2 linked regions of the Rattus norvegicus genome follow. The protein of the gene in region 1 purifies or fractionates together with the protein of each later gene. This does not show direct contact. Links are inferred from orthologs where the notes say so. Each region holds a gene or a part of one and is shown in the gene's direction. Other genes may lie near its edges.

Region 1 (8,155 bases):
GCCAGGCCCCGGGCCGCGCCTCCACAGCCGCCGCGCGCTGGTGAGTAGTGGGAGCCGGCGGGCGCGCTCCTGTGGCGCGGAGGCCTGCTGCCCGGGGCTGCGGGAGTAGGCCGCGCTAGGCCGGCGTACGCGGACCCGGAAGAGAGGGGCGCGCGGGTTGCGGGCGGGAGGCGTGTCGGAGCGTGGCCCGCGCTGTGCGAGGTTGTGCCCGGTGTAGGGAGAACAGAGCTCCAAGCGGACGCTAAGCAGGAGAGGTGGCAGGTTCCGCAGTATGTGTAGAGGCGTGGGGACTGCCTGGTATGCTAGACATATTGGGGAGAAGGGCTTTGAGGGGGCGATGTGCTAGGGACGGGATGATAGTAGGGCATGAGGAGAGCAAAGGCCTGTGTGAACAGGACAAGGGAGTACGGAAAACCAAGGATTCTAAGAATGGTCTACAGTTAGGTGTGTGTCTGCTGAGCGTGGTATACTTGTTCATGGGCCGGGGACTCGTTTAGGATGTGGGTGAGTTGGTGTTGAGGAGCTGCTGGTGGTAGACTATGTTTGTGTCCTCCGAACTGGGTGTGTGTGTCCTTCCTTCACATCATCCTAATCCCTATGAAAAAGTAAAGTAGGGTCAAGTAAGAACAATCCAAGGAGGGCACTCTATGGTGTGGTTTGACTGGCCAAATACCCACTTGTTCTGGTGTCCATTGCCTTACTTATGCTCCCCCAAAACAAAATACCCCCCTCCCAACCGAAACCCAAAGTGCACATTTTTAGTTGGGCATAAAGAAAGTAGAAAGAAAAAAAAAAAACCTAAGGATTTTTCTCAGCTCATCTTCAAGATAAACGTGTGCATTTTTCCCTTTTACTCTGACAAGTCCATTTACTCACAGCCAGTTTGGAGAACATGGGAGTCTGACTTTACCTGAGAGAGGCAGTACTGGCTGATTTCAGTTTTAGAGCTTCACTTCAGGATCAAGAAAGTATATGAAGCACAGGGATTCTGTTTGATTTTTCAGCAGTATTGACTTGTGCTACATCTTTTGGAGAAACAAAGTGGGTTTTATTGTCCGTTAAGACTTTATTTGAAGGGGTTGGGTATTTAGCTTAGTGGTAGAGCTCTTGCCTAGCAAGCGCAAGGCTCTGGGCTCGGTCCTCAGCTCCCCCCCCCCCCAAAAAAAAGGACTTTATTTGATGGGTGACTGGATTAGATATGAAATGAGAACCCTGACCTTTCAAGAATTTAATCAATGGCTCATTAGTAAAATGCTAGTCATATTATTTTCACATTCAACCTAAATCATAAGCTTATACTCTGTGTGTGTGTGTGTGTGTGTGTGTGTGTGTGTGTCAGACTTGTATATTACCTTTATGGAGTTACTTTATAAGTGTTGGTTGCAGGTTTGAGGCTGGATTTGGTACTATGGGTTTTAGACTTATTGAATTATCATAGCTGCTTTTTGTGTGGTATTTCTGTGTACCTTACCTGTTAGGTGTCCTCTGTGGGAGCCCAGGGATTATTGGAAATTGGGCTGTTTTAATGTTAGTAATTTGTGGGAATGTTGATGTTCAGGGACAGGTGCAGGAGTGCAGGCCCCTCTTTCCTATGATGATATCTTAGATAAGAGCAAGGAGACATGATGGGCTGCTGTGGTGTTTCAGATGTCCAAGATGCTTACCACATGTAGACAGAACTCCCAGAAAGTGACTAAGTTAAGGAGAGGTATAGGAGGTCTGTGAGCAGCAGGAGACCACAGTCATCGGCTGTGACCTTAAGAAACAGGCTGATCCTGCTGAGGCTGAGATTATAGCTTACCTAAGAAGTCATTAGTTGCAGAAATATCATAATTGTGACCCATCTTTTATTTGTACATGCCTCTTCCTTCTAGCCATTAGTAATCTAGTCATCAGCATCGTTAGCAGGTAAAGTGTGTATTGTGTGAGAATGAACAAAAGATGGATTTCATGGAAGTCAGGGCTCAGCACTGTAGAATGGTGACCAAGGACAGCATCTCCCTTTTTGGTTGTTGATGTGTATCATGTTTTTTGTTTTTGTTGTCTCTTGTACCCCAGACTGCCCTCCAACTCTGATGTAGCCAAGAATAACCTTGAATTCCTCATCCTTCTGCCTCTACCTCCACACACTCATTTTTTGCAGTATTGGGGATCTGGGGATGAAGCCCAGGCCTCAAGCTTGCTAGGCAACACTCTGCCATCTGAGCTACATCCCCAGCCCATGACCTTGAACTCTTTGATTTGTTTTATTTTTGAGACAAGGTTTCTCTCTATAGTCCTGGCTGTTCTGGAACTCTGGCTGCTCTGTAGACCAGGTGGGCCTTGAACTCAGAGATTCACGTCTCTTAACCTCCCAAGTTCAGGGACCACCCACCATCTGGCTGACCCTGAACTCTCGATCGAGCCTTGAATTCTCCCTCATTTTTTCAAGTGCTGAGATGATAGATTTGTGTCAATACACTGGGTTTATTTATTTATTGAGACGGGTCCTCATTTTATAACCCAGGCTTGCCTTGACTCAGGATGATCGTCTTCTTGCCTCAGTCTCCTGAGTGCTGAGAGTACAAGCATGAACCATGATGCCTGTCTTTTGTTTTTAGGATTCATTTTGTTCCGGTTACCTGACCCTGACATATGCCTCTCTAGCTCACTTTAGCTGGGACCAATTGGGGCTTTGTTGCTGTCTCCCCTTTGGATATGTTGAGATATATCAGATGTAGCAGAAAGGACCAGAGATCATAGCAGGGTCCAATCCAAATTTGAACAAATTTGCTCCCTTTTGCACACCCCACACGGCAACAAAGGTATAGGTGGTACAGTTTTCATTTGGCGGAGCTAAATCACATTTCTTGTATGCTTCTTTATTGAAAAAGCATACTTGTATTTGTAACTGATTTTTTTTTTCTGTACCTTTTCTGTCTTTCCAAAGTCACCATATGCTATCAGAAGGGAATCTTCTTGTAAGAGAGAAATTAGCAGCCAAGTACAGCTTTCTGAATCTCTAAAGTTGTCTGTGTAGACAATGCATAGATGCCTCTGAGTGTGGACTGTGTTCTTCCATCACTGGTCCAAGGTGTGCAAGGTAGCCAGCCTATGATCACTTGATCTCTTACTTGTTGAGAGCTGGAAGGACATCTTGCTGTGTGGTTGCTCATAAGGCATGCCAAGTATGAAAAATAATAGAATAGACAGAAAATAGAGACTCTGTTAAACTTGCCCTATGCCTGTCTACCTGAGGATCTGTAGTGTGCCTCTTCTTTGTTTCTGAGTGTCACTAGGGCAAGTGTGGTGATTGTCTTCATGGATGAGGGACCAACTGACTGATGTGATGCTGGTGACTGGGGACAGAGGCACCTTTTTCTAGCTTTCTTGTCCTCTTGACATTCATTTCTTTAGCCAGGATGGGTGATCTTCAGGCCTTACCACTGAAGGCATCCTTTGAAGGAGAGATGTCCCCCATGATCCAGACTTTCACTTAGTGTGAGAGGCAGTCTTGTAAAAGTTCCAGAAATTGCCTTAATGATAGAGCAAAAATTGTGGCCAAAATATGTCTCTGCTAGAAGTCTGCACTGAGTCTCTGCTCCAAGTGGGAGTGGGAGGGCATCCCTGCACATCTCAAGAGAACCTCTGGTGTTTCCATGGACCACCTTTCCTAATCCTTGTCCTCTTAATGGTTTTAACAGGAGAGATTGATTCCCTTGGGAGCTGTAAGTACTGAGGTATTAGGGTGCAGCGCTCATTGTTCACTGATGCAGAGTCCCAAAATGAATGTCCAGGAGCAGGGTTTCCCCTTGGACCTCGGAGCAAGTTTCACCGAAGATGCCCCCCGGCCCCCAGTGCCTGGAGAAGAGGGAGAACTGGTATCCACTGATTCGAGGCCTGTCAACCACAGTTTCTGCTCTGGGAAAGGTACCAGCATTAAAAGTGAGACCTCAACAGCCACCCCAAGACGTTCAGATCTGGATCTGGGATATGAGCCTGAGGGCAGTGCCTCCCCCACCCCACCATACTTGAGGTGGGCTGAGTCACTGCATTCCTTACTGGATGACCAAGATGGGATCAGCCTGTTCAGGACTTTCCTGAAGCAGGAGGGCTGTGCTGACCTGCTGGACTTCTGGTTTGCCTGCAGTGGCTTCAGAAAGCTTGAGCCTTGTGACTCAAATGAGGAAAAGAGGCTGAAGCTGGCAAGAGCCATCTACCGAAAGTACATCCTGGATAGCAATGGCATTGTGTCCAGACAAACCAAGCCAGCCACTAAGAGCTTCATAAAGGACTGCGTCATGAAGCAGCAGATCGATCCTGCCATGTTTGACCAGGCACAGACAGAAATCCAGTCCACCATGGAGGAGAACACCTACCCTTCCTTCCTTAAGTCTGACATTTATTTGGAGTACACAAGGACAGGCTCAGAAAGTCCAAAGGTCTGCAGTGACCAGAGCTCAGGGTCCGGGACAGGGAAGGGCATGTCTGGATACTTGCCCACTTTGAATGAAGATGAAGAATGGAAATGTGACCAAGATGCAGATGAGGATGATGGCCGAGACTCTGTCCCCCCCAGCAGGCTCACCCAGAAGCTGCTATTGGAGACTGCTGCCCCGAGGGCCCCCTCAAGTAGACGGTACAACGAAGGCAGAGAGCTCAGGTGAGTTCGGCACAGGGTGTCCATTTTCTCTACACAGCTCAGAGACCTGGCAAAGGAGCGAGGGAAAGGTGTTGGTAACAGGTGGCCTTGTTTTTAACCCCAGCTGAGATCTCTGCTGCTGCTGCTGCTGCTGCTGCTGCTGCTGCTGCTGAATTATAGTTTTATTTCCTACTTAGATACTTCATACTTGTTATTAGATACCTTCTTATATTTTGTGGCATTGAGAACGCAACAAACAAGACTTGCCAGGTGTAATCCCACCTACTTGGGAAGCTGAGGTAGGAGAATCGAAAAATTGTGTGTCATTCTGGGCAACTTGTAGAGATTCAAAATGAAAAAGAGTAAAGGCTTAGGAGAGTTCTTGCATAGCATGGAGGAAACTCTTTGAGTTCCCTCTTTAGTAACACGTGTACTACTAAATATAGGGCTTTGTGAATTATAAGCATATGGCTTGTGAATTATTAGAAGCGTGAGAATTCTTAGAAGCTATAATGGTTTGGTTTGTTTTTTTTTTTAAAGATTTATTTATTCATTATATATAAGTACACTGTAGTTATCTTCAAACATACCAGAAAAGGGCATCAGATCCCATTACAGATGGTTGTGAGTCACCATGTGGTTGCTGGGATTTGAACTCAGAACCTCTGGAAGAGCAATCAGTGCTCTTTTTTTTTTTTTTTTTTTGGGTTCTTTTTTTTTTTTTTTCGGAGCTGGGGACCGAACCCAGGGCCTTGCGCTTCCTAGGCAAGCGCTCTACCACTGAGCTAAATCCCCAACCCCGCAATCAGTGCTCTTAACCACTGAGCTATCTCTCTAACCCAGAAGTCATAATGTTTAAACTTTACCATTTAGCACAAAATTCATGTCTTCTTGCATAGAAGGATCTTAACCCTTAATAATGAGAGGGAAATACATTCAAATACATAGACAATTATAATTACTTTATTTTTATTTTAGATTCATTTAGTTTTTTTATGGGGATGAGTGTTTTGTATGTATGTATGTGCATATGTATGTGCACCATGTATGTGCCTGCTGCCCAGAAGGGGGTGCCAGATCCCCTGAGACTGGAGTTAACAGATGGTTGTGAGCCACCACATAGGTGCTGGTAATCAACTCATGCCCTCTATAAGAACAACAAATACTTTTAACTTTTCTTTTTCTTTCTTTTTTTTTTTTTTTTCAGAGCTGGGGACCGAACTCAGGGCCTTGCGCTTGCTAGGCAAGTGCTCTACCACTGAGCTAAATCCCCAACCCCCATACTTTTAACTTTTAACCCATCATTCCACTCCCTTCCACATCTTGCTAATTTTTTAGTCAGTACTTTGGATTCTTTCTGGAGGATGAGACAGTAGTGGGGCAGTTTAGTCTGTGTAGACAGTTGTTGGAGGGTTCAGAAACTCCTGATGGCTGTGCTTGGATTTCTAGAATTGGACCTTTTCCCTCCATGGCGTGATCTGCTGAAGGGAGTTCTGATTGTGTGTTCTGATGTATGCAACTTGAGCAGCATGATGGTGCTCTCCAGAAGAGAGCATAGCTTTGAAACTTGTTTCTTCACCTTTCTCTATAAAAAAAAAGGTATTTTTACACTTATTTGTGGTGCGTGTGTGTGGTGTGTGTGTGTGTCCATCCACCTTATATGTGGATGGGGGAGGCACTGACTTCAGGCTCAGGTGGCTAATATGTGGTAAGAGAAACTCCTTATAGGGGGCATTTTTAATCCTGTGAGTTCTGTGGATTGAATGTGGTCATTAGGCTTGGTGACAGACCCCTTTCCCTGCTGAACTGTCTTATCAGACCAAGCGTTGCTGTTTTTTAAATTCAGAATCATTGTGGTTACAGGAGGCTGGATTGGCTGGATTGGTACTTACTGCACTTATGAGCAGAGTTTGCGTTTTTTTGCTTATTTCCCTAGAACTGATGATTAGATACCGAATTTACTATTGTTCCCAACCTGAAAACCATTTCCAGATGTTGAGGTAATTGTTGTTTAGAACCAGGACTGAGCTGGGTGTGGTGGCTCAGGGATTAAGTCAAGTGGGTTCTCAAGAAAGGAGGTTCATTGAATTCTGAAGAAAAGCAGTAGTCAGATGTGTTGGCACACACTTTTAATCCTAACTCTCAGGGAAGCAGAGGCAGGGGGATCTCTGAGTTTACTGAGCTAGTTGCAGGACAGCCAGGGCTACACAAGAAGTCCTGGGGTGTTGGGGGCAGTTTGTACATGGACACAGACCATGGCTGTTCTTTAAGTTTACTATGAACACAAAGAAATTAAAATTGGTCACTTTTACAAAGCCACAGAATTAACACTTCTTTAGTTCAAGAGACACAGTTCAATATGTACTGTTTTTATTCATTGTCATTAGCCAAGTGATATTTACTTAGCAAGATTTTAAAGGACAATTTGTTTTGTTTTGGAGACAAGTTCTTATTCATCCCAGGTAGGCCTCAAAAATTCCCTATGTAACTGAGAATGACTTGAGCTTCTCCTGCCTCAACCTCTAGAATCCTGGGCACAGGCATGTGCCAACAGTTTACGCAGTGCTGAAGATTAAACTGGAAGCAGTGGATGTTGACAGACATGTGACCAATTGAACTACATTCTCAGTATGTTCAGTTTTTGAAACAAAGTCTTTTAGAGCCCTTTAATGTGCTGTATAGCTGAGGATGACCTTGAATTGCTTCTGTGCTGAGGTTACAGGCAGGTTCCATCACACCTCATTTCCAACATGTCTTTTGTTGGTATTTTTTCATGTTTTTGTTTTCAATGTTAGTGATTTTATTTAAGACCTCATGCATTAGAGGCAAGTGCTTACCAGTAATTTACACCCGCCCACCAACTTTCATATTTGAATACATTCTGCGTTTCATGCAGTGGGCTGTAATTAGGAAGCACTAGATTGGGAATAAGAAAATCCAGTCTAGGGGGTTGGGGATTTAGCTCAGCGGTAGAGCGCTTGCCTAGCAAGTGCAAGGCCCTGGGTTCGGTCCCCAACTCCAAAAAAAAAAAGAAAGAAAAAAAGAAAAAAAAAGAAAATCCAGTCTACTGGGATTAATTTTTGACTTAGTTGGCTAGTGTTTCATGTGCTTTGATCAGAAATTCAACACTTTTCTTTTTCTTCTTCCTCCTCTTCCTCCTCTTCCTCCTCCTCTTCCTCCTCTTCCTCTTCCTTTTTTGTTTTTGAGACAGGGTCTCACTATTTAGCTCTGGCAAATTTAGTACTCTTTGTAGACCAGGCAGGTCTCAAACCCTCAGAGATTCCTCTTCTTCTTTTGCCTCATGATTACCAGGACTAAAGTTCGTGTGCCACATCTGACTAGCACTTTTCTTTATAGTTTAATGAACCTGCTTTTTTTTTGACAACCCACTTGGGGTCCCTTGTGGAGGTGGCTACCTCTGTGAACATATGCTCTTAACTACCCTTAATTACAAGACTTTCCCACACCAGTGAAGGAAGGCTCTTTACTGGCTCATAGTAGGGAACAATTTTGCTGCTATGTCCTGCCAGTCCT
Region 2 (8,255 bases), on another chromosome or scaffold:
AATGACCAGAGACCAAGGTTTAGTTGACTAGAGGGACAGATGGAACAGTCACTTCACCAAAATCTTGGGATCCACATTGGCCTCTTCAGGAGCTAAGTATTCATCTAAGTATTTATCTCCGGTAAAACAAAGTTCAAGATGGGTCAAGTGTATAGGACCAGTAGACAGATAGGAAAATTAAAGTCATATGTGGCTAAAATAGCCATAAATTTATAGGGGATATGACTTGTTGCAGCAATGGAAAACAGATTAACATTCCTCCAATCTCAGAAACAAACCATAAAATTAATAATGCTTCTAAAAATATATTAAAAGACATTTTCAAGAACAGTCACAGACCATTTAGGTTGTCCATAAGCAGGACATAATAGCTGTTGGTCTTTCAAAGGTACCAACCGCCTTACCTTTAAAATGACTAATTGACAAACCTGTGTGGGTGGAACAATGGCCTTTGACATCAGAAAAATTATAGGACCACTGTCCTAGTAGGACAACTGTCATAAAGGGAGAGAGTTGGAATATAACGAGTTTCTGAAGTATACTTGTTTTATTCTCTCCGAACATGCATAAATAACAATGTATTGGATAGGTAAAATCTGAAATATTGGATAAGTGAATAGCTAGAAAGGTTGTAATATAGGAAATCTTATAATAAAGTGAAATTGTCAAAAAATGAAATTAATAATGGTGAAAAGGATACAAAGTCAATCCAGAGGAAGTGAACATAGGATTATTATGGATAGAGAGACACATAGAAAGTAGAAGGTGAGGGACATGCAGTTTGAAAGCTTGAGACTTCATGAGAGGGGCATTACTTCTAGGATGTCAGCCGAGGAAGAAGGTCAGCTGTGCGCTTTCTCTGCCTCTCTGAGCTAGTAGGCTTTTGCCTTAGTATCTGGCTCCCAAGTCTTCACTGGTAAAATTGAACAATTGTGATTTTTGTTTAAAAAAATAAACAACAACAAATATCTTCAAATTCCTGAAGGAAAATTATTTTCAATTTTATTTTTTCCAATGTGTGTGTGTGTGTGTGTGTGTGTGTGTGTGTGTGTGTGTGTGTGTGTGTAAGTGTTAGGGAATACACAAGCGCCAGCATGCCTATAGAGGTCTTGCAGGAGGTCTCCTTCCACCATGTGGATCCTGAGGATCAAGCTCAGGCTGTCAGGCCACTGCCCCAACCTCAACCTCAGTCATATTCTAGACATACAACTCAAACACAACCTGGGCCTTAGCAGCAGAAATCATGCCCGCATCCACAGATCCAATAAACAAACAAACAAACAAACAAACAAACAAATTCCTTCCTAGGTGTGGTGGCAGGACTTCCAGTTTAAGACCAGCCTGAGCGTCTTGTATTGTCAGCCACAGACTCTGTCTCAGAAAACCAGAACCAAAACCATCTTTTTCATTCTTGCTTTCAAAGAGACCTGTCAAAGGATGCAATACGCCTTACTAAACTAAGAATAAAGTATTCAAGAAAACAGGTCCAGCTTGGTGGAGAAGTAAAGAAAATTCTGGGGATGCAGAGAAGTCCTGGGTGACAGCTGGATTGATAGAGACAGCAAGCAGTGTTCACCGGAGCAAACGAAGGGAAGTTCCAGGAACAGGCAAAGCTGGACTACCTCATAGGTTGGACTGGATGAACAAAATGTGTCCTGAAAAACCACTGGAATGTTTGCAAAGAATCATTGGTGCTTACATTTTTAAAAAATAAAAACAACCAAAGAACAGTAAAAGAAGCAAGTAATATAACAACTTTAGCAGTATACATTGACTGATAGTTAAAATGCTGTCGATATTAAGTACTCTATTTAACAAGCATGGTTTCAATATTTTAATATATTTTATATATCTATTCATTTAATGTATGTGAGCACACTACAGCTGTCTTCAGACACACCAGAAGAGGGCATCTGATCTCATTACAGATGGTTGTGAGCCACCATGTGGTTGCTGGGATTTGAACTCAGGACCTCTGGAAGAGCAGACAGTGCTCTTAACCACTGAGCCATCTCTCCAGTCCGGTTTCAATATTTTAAGAAAGTAAAAGTGGAAAGTCAATAGCAATGTCTAGAATGTGTAAATCAAGAAATAAGGCAGGCATCACATGACTTTAACCCCAGCTGCTCCAGGAGTACAGAGGCAGGAGAGTAGAAAGTTCAAGGTCATCCTGGACTCTTTACTTTTTAATATTAAGGTTGTAGAAACAGCTCAACATTTAAGAGGGCTTGATGTTCTTACAGAGGCCCTGAGTTCAGTTTCCACCATCTCGGCAGGTGGATCACAGCTTCCTGTGACTCTAATTCCAAGGGACTGACATCCTCCTCCGATCACCTCAGATACCCAAAATCTGCACGGGTAAAAATAAACCTTGAAAAGTCTTAATGCATTTTAGTTATGCACAGACATTACTTGGAGAAAAAGATAAATGAAGGATATAAACTGAAAAGATATAACTACTACTGATTGCTTTCTGCCTATAATAAAAATTTGGTTTTGAAGTAACAAGAAGTCTAGAGAAGTAGGTGTCAGATTATAAAGGACCTCGTGTATCATGTTGAGGGTATATGAAAGGCATATTGGGTAATGTGAAGGTTTCTGAGCAGAAGAGGTGATTAAAATGGGTCCTGAAATGCAGGGATGTAATCCCAGAACTCAGAAGCCTGAGGCAGGAGAATTGCCAGGAGTTTTGAAGCCACTCCTGACATACATTGTTACAGCTGAGAAGCTGAACCACCAACTGACTGACTATACCTAGTTTTTAACATCTACTGTCCCAATCATCGATCATGTATGTCTACGCTTTCTGTTTTTTGTTTTTGTTTTTTTTTTTTTACTTGGGGATCAGGGTGGGAGTTGAGACAGAGTTTGTCTGTGTAGCCCTGGCAGTCCTGGAACTCGCTCTGTAGACTGGCTGGCCTCCAACTCAAAGATCTGCCTGCCTCCCCAGTGTTCAGACTAAAGTCATTTGCTACCACACCTGACTGCTTGCTCTTTTTCTTAGCTCGCATTTTTTCTTTTCTTTTTCTTTCTTTTTTCTTTTTTTAGAGAGAGAGACAGGACTTTTCTACCTAGTCCTGCTGGGGTCTTGAGCTCTCTGTAGGCCAGGCTTGGCTTGAACTCACAAAAAGCCACCCGCCTCTCGTTCCCGAGTGCCGGGATTAAAGGCAAGCACCACCACACCCGCCAATCCATTACTCAAACTACTTGCTCATAGAGACGCTGAGATTACAGGGATAAAAATTTAAACTTGCTCAGCCCTCAAGGAACTCAGTACAGTCCGGTCACAGCAACTGTGCTGTCAGCAAAATCCAGAGATCCGAGTCGAAGCGACCCCCCTCCAGGGAACCAGTTAGGTCTTCAAATCTATTTTCTTCCGCAGTAGGTGACACTTATCTTCCATCCCTCCCCTCCAGCCAGGGAGCCGGCCCACCGTTCCCCTGGGCCCACCGGGGTGAGACTTCCAGGTCCAGCAGCCTGATCCAGGAGCACAAGGAAGCGAGCGCCGCCCCGCGGGTGGGCGGGCAGTCTGCGGCAAGCAGCCAGCGCCGCTCGGCGGCGGGGCGGAGCCGCGCTGGGCTCGGCCCAGAGCCGGGAGGGCCGAGGCCACCGGAAGAGTCGCGGTCGCCAGCCGAGCGCTGTGAGTGGGGAGCGGAAGCGGTGGCGGGCGGCGCTGGGACCCGGGAGCGGCCGGAGAACAAGGGAGCTGGCGCCCCGGCCGGCGGCTGAGCGGGGCTAAGCAGCGGGCCTCGCCGAGCGCCGAGCTCTGTCGGAGAGGCCCGGCCCCGCTGCCCAAGCAGGCCGCACGCCGCGGGGCCGAGGCCGGAGCCATGGGCGAGACTAAGATCATCTACCACTTGGACGGCCAGGAGACGCCGTACCTAGTGAAGCTGCCCCTGCCCGCCGAGCGCGTCACCTTGGCGGACTTTAAGGGCGTTTTGCAGCGGCCCAGCTATAAGTTCTTCTTCAAGTCTATGGACGACGATTTTGGGTGAGGATGGCCCCCGCCCCGCCTCCCGGGAGCTCGGGTCGCTCCGCTGCTAGGGGCCAACGCGGCCAGTTCCGACTCCCCTCGCTGCACTGGTTTCTAACCCCGCTTCCAGCAAGGAGCGACTCGGTGACTTGGGACCCTCTTGACTTTGAGGGACTCCCAGTCATCTCTTGGAGGCCTTGCCTCCCCCACCCCACCCCCCAGCCCAGCGGGACGTCCCTCCCTAAGCAATTGGTTCCTATCATTTAAGCCCCTTCACCTCCCCACGGTCCAGCGGCCCGCCGTAGACATACATCCTTTCCACTCCAAAACCAGAGTTCTCAGTCCTTCCAGGTGCCACCTTTTAAGCATAGAGTTGGAGTTAAACTGACACTCGGTCTGCCTTCCCAGTCCTCTGAGCTCTGCAACTCAGATCCTTATTTGGAGTGTGCTCTATCTAGGGCTGTAGCTGGTGGGACTTGGAACTGGAGAAGGAGGAATTGGGGGCTGTTCTGCCAGGCTGGATGCTGGACCTGATGTTTGTCGAGTAGATTCTCCTCTCTCCTGGGCTGATGGGGTGTTGCCTGGCCCGGAGAAGGAGTTTTCACTAATCAGGTGCTGGGGCCTTTTCTTTCCTGATGGTGTTCCCAGGGGAGATGCTACATAGAGCTTCAGAGCCTGGATGGGAAAGCCTGGAAGGGCCTGTTGGTGTTCTCTTGTCTTCCCCTTCCTACCCAGCTGCAGGGCTTTTGATGGGCAATTTGGAAGATGGGACTGCCCCTTTAAGAGAGGTTGGAATGTTGGAGCCTGAGGGTTCTGTAGCAGCTGGCCTGAGAGGGGACACACACACACACACACACACACACACACACACCTATCCAAGGGGCTGAGGCTTGCCTGCATTAACTGGACAGCGGACTTATAGGCTATGGAGCAAACACACACACACACACACACACACACACACACATACACACACACACACACCCTACCCCACCCCTCTCTGGGCCCTCCAAGGCCTGAAGGTCCCTCTGATGCACTTGCCTGAGGCTTGCACTCTGCTTGCAGCTGAGGCCCCAGAGCTGGGTGAGGGGAGATATTCTCTCTAGTGTACATTAGTCTGGCTTCCCTCCTAAGCCCTGCCCTCCAAGCCCCAGGAGGCAAGCACCTTCTGTCTCCTTCTGGGCTATTTGTCATTTTCTGCCCTGGAACTCGACATTTGATGAGCTCTTAAAAGTGTGTGTGTGTGTGCATGTGTGTGTGAGTGTGTGTGTGTGTGAGTGTGTGTGTGTGTGTGTGTGAGTGTGTGTGTGTGTGTGAGTGTGGACAGTGGAGAATTGATCTGACTATTGCTAAATCTGTTCTTGCCCTGGGATGAGACTCTTGTGTGTGGTGATGATTGTCTGGCTGTAGTTTAGAGTAGGAAGACCTGGTTGAAAGACCCTGAAAATGATGTATCTGGAAGAACTGAGGATAGGAGGTGAGTGTCTCAACCTGGCATGAGAGGAATAAGAAGAGGGTCTTTCTTATTATTCGAAGGAGCTGGGATAATATTTCAGGATATGCTAGGCCAGATGTCTTGAGGGATTAGAATAGTCTTGTATCTCCACCCCCACTTGCCTCTGCCTCCCAAGCAGACCACTCTGAGCTGCTTCCTGCTTTCCTGAGGTTGTCGTGGGAGCAGACCTAACTACAATTATAAGAGGGCTCCCATTGCATCTGCTCACTGTTGGGAAATATTTTTCTTTAAATCAACTATTGAACTAAGCAACATTTATCATGTGCCACTTTGAAGCATTTTGTATTTACCTGTGGTCCCTTTGCAAAATATTCATTGTCTGTTCTATCAGGGTTGAGAACAATGCTAAGAATGAAGTGGGTGTGATTATTTGGCTTCTTCCTCCCAAACTCCAAGAATAAATGAGCAAAAGACCCAGCAAGGCTATCCTTTTCAAGTTAGGACAGCAGAGGATCCTGTTGACAGTTTATTTCATTTTTTATTTTACAAGTGCATCATATGATACAGTCTGCCTGATAGTGATATATTATTACTTGTACATCTTGCATCTTTGAGTCCTCATACCAGCCTATGAAATAGGCACTAATTTCCCACTTTGAAAATTAGGCTAGAATGTTAAAGGCCTAAATAAAGCTGACCCTAGATCACACAGCTAGTAAATGACAGAATTTGTTTGGATATGGGGGACTCTCACTCCAAAATCTAAAGTCTGGGTCACACATTGTAGATGTGTGTGTGTGTGTGTGTGTGTGTGTGTGTGTGTGTGTGTGTGTGTGCGCGCATGAGTGTGTGAGTGTTTATGTGTGTGTATGGGTGTCAGAGAGTGTGCATGAGTGTGTGTATATGTGTGTGTGAGTGAGTGTTGTGTGTATGGGTGTCAGAGAGTGTGTGTGTGTGTGTGTGTCACAGTAGTGAGGAATACTGTGCAAATGGCCATAGATTATAGACTTTTCTCTCCAGAGAATAGCAAGCCTTGGCAAACTGGGGACATAACATGCACCTCAGCCAGCCTAGGCCAGTGACCCCTGTTGACAAGAGAGAAAGCATGTCAGAGGAGGAAGCAAGCTGCACCTCAACCTGAGGATTCCCCAACTCTCACCTGGTCTCCAAAAATATTTGTCAAGTGCAGGATACACTTAGCTTTATTAAATTACTTGGGAGCGTCAGGGACATGGCTTAGTACATAAACCCATGGGCCACCAAGCCTGGTCTATCCTCAGGACCCATAGAGTGGAAGGGAAAAAAGCAACTTCTGAAAGTTGTCCTCTGACCTCCATACATATGTACACATGCATACACACATACACACACCACACACACATACGAATGCTAAAATGTAATAAAGTTCTTTTAAAAGAAAAGACATAGTTAATGTGAGAGTGTAATCTTACTGAAAGTTGGAGAGTCAGTAAGTAGTTTTTATTATATTCCTGGACCATACCAGGCATCTAGGAATCGCATTTACCAGGATGAGACAAAGGTTGGCTAAGTTAAATGATATCTTTAAGGTGGGAGAGCTTCAACGTAATAGACTTGGGAGTTGAGCATGTGCTTATTTGACTCAGTAAAGAGGAGAAGACAGTTCTGGTGAGACTGCCACGGAGCCCGGATGGCCAAGCCCTACAGTGGGAGGTTACATCTGAGGCTCCTCCAAGGCTACTGAAGACTAGGTGATCATTGAGCAGAGACTTGTAGAGCATTGGCGACCTGTAGTATGGAGTGTGTGTGTGCGTGTGCATGTGTGTGTGTGTGTGTATGTGTGTGTGTATGTGTGTGTATGTATGTGTGTGAGTGTGTATGTATGTGTGTATGTGTGGTGTGTGTATGTGTGTGTACGTGTGTGTGAGTGTGTATGTGTGTGTGTATGGTGTGTATGTTTGTGTGAGTGTGTATGTGTGTATGTGTGTGAGTGTGTATGTGTGTGAGTGTGTATGTGTGTGTATGGCGTGTATGTGTGTGTGAGTGTGTATGTGTGTGTATGTGTATGGTGTGTATGTGTGTGTATGTGTGTGTGAGTGTGTATGTGTGTGTGAGTGTGTATGTGTGCGTGGTGTGTATGTGTGTGTATGTGTGTGTATGTGTGTATATGTGTGTGTATGTGTGAGTGTGTGTATATGTGTGTGTGTATGTGTGCATGTGAATATGTGTATGTGTGAGTGTGTGTGTGTGTGTGTGTGTGTGTGTGTGTGTGTGTGTGTGTGTATGTGTCTGTCTGTGTGTGGTCTGCTAAGGGAGATGGGAAGACTCGGCAGCACTTTCCCATCACAAGACATGTTTCAAAGCAGGACAGAGAGTCCTGTGTGTCACACAAACCCTCTTTTCTCTTAAGGCCAGGTTACCATGCAGGACACCATACAGATTGGCTTGCAGGCCTGAGCTGTTTTCTCAGGGTCCTTGTGGCATTGGAAATGGTAGAGCGGGGAGCTGGGAGGGAGGACGGTAGGATGAGGAGCTGGGAGGGAGGATGGTAGACTTGGCTACCAGCTTCTTTGTAAGTTAAAGATGTGACTGTCAGGCTGGACAGTTGGCTCAGGGCTTAAGAACATTGACTGCTCTTCCAAAGGTCCTGAGTTGGGTCTGAAGACAGCAACAGTGTACTCATATCTCATGTCCATTAAATAAAAAAAAAAAAAAAAAAAAAAAGATGTGACTGTCACAAGGAGCCAAACCTTCACCCTCTCAGCTTCTTCCCTGCATTCTCAGCATGTGTCCCCATAGCCTAAGGCCACATTTGTCCAGCTCAGCGCTCCTGGGGTGAGTGATAGT

What was found. The genes of interacting proteins can lie anywhere in the genome.
Region 2: the proteins of Axin1 (region 1) and Dvl3 purify together in Homo sapiens (affinity purification with western blotting; 3 studies listed by BioGRID and IntAct, with this or other methods). This does not show direct contact. The link is inferred for Rattus norvegicus from reciprocal best matches to the Homo sapiens genes AXIN1 and DVL3.

What each region holds. Positions count from the first base shown.
Region 1 is NC_086028.1:15,668,217-15,676,371, forward strand, and holds part of Axin1 (axin-1), read left to right. Parts: 5' UTR 1-40; intron 41-160; exon of another isoform or gene 161-297; intron 298-3,683; 5' UTR 3,684-3,749; coding exon 3,750-4,642; intron 4,643-8,155. UniProt on the Homo sapiens protein: Component of the beta-catenin destruction complex required for regulating CTNNB1 levels through phosphorylation and ubiquitination, and modulating Wnt-signaling.
Region 2 is NC_086029.1:93,882,348-93,890,602, reverse strand, and holds the start of Dvl3 (segment polarity protein dishevelled homolog DVL-3), read left to right. Parts: upstream 1-3,699; 5' UTR 3,700-3,830; coding exon 3,831-3,991; intron 3,992-8,255. UniProt on the Homo sapiens protein: Involved in the signal transduction pathway mediated by multiple Wnt genes.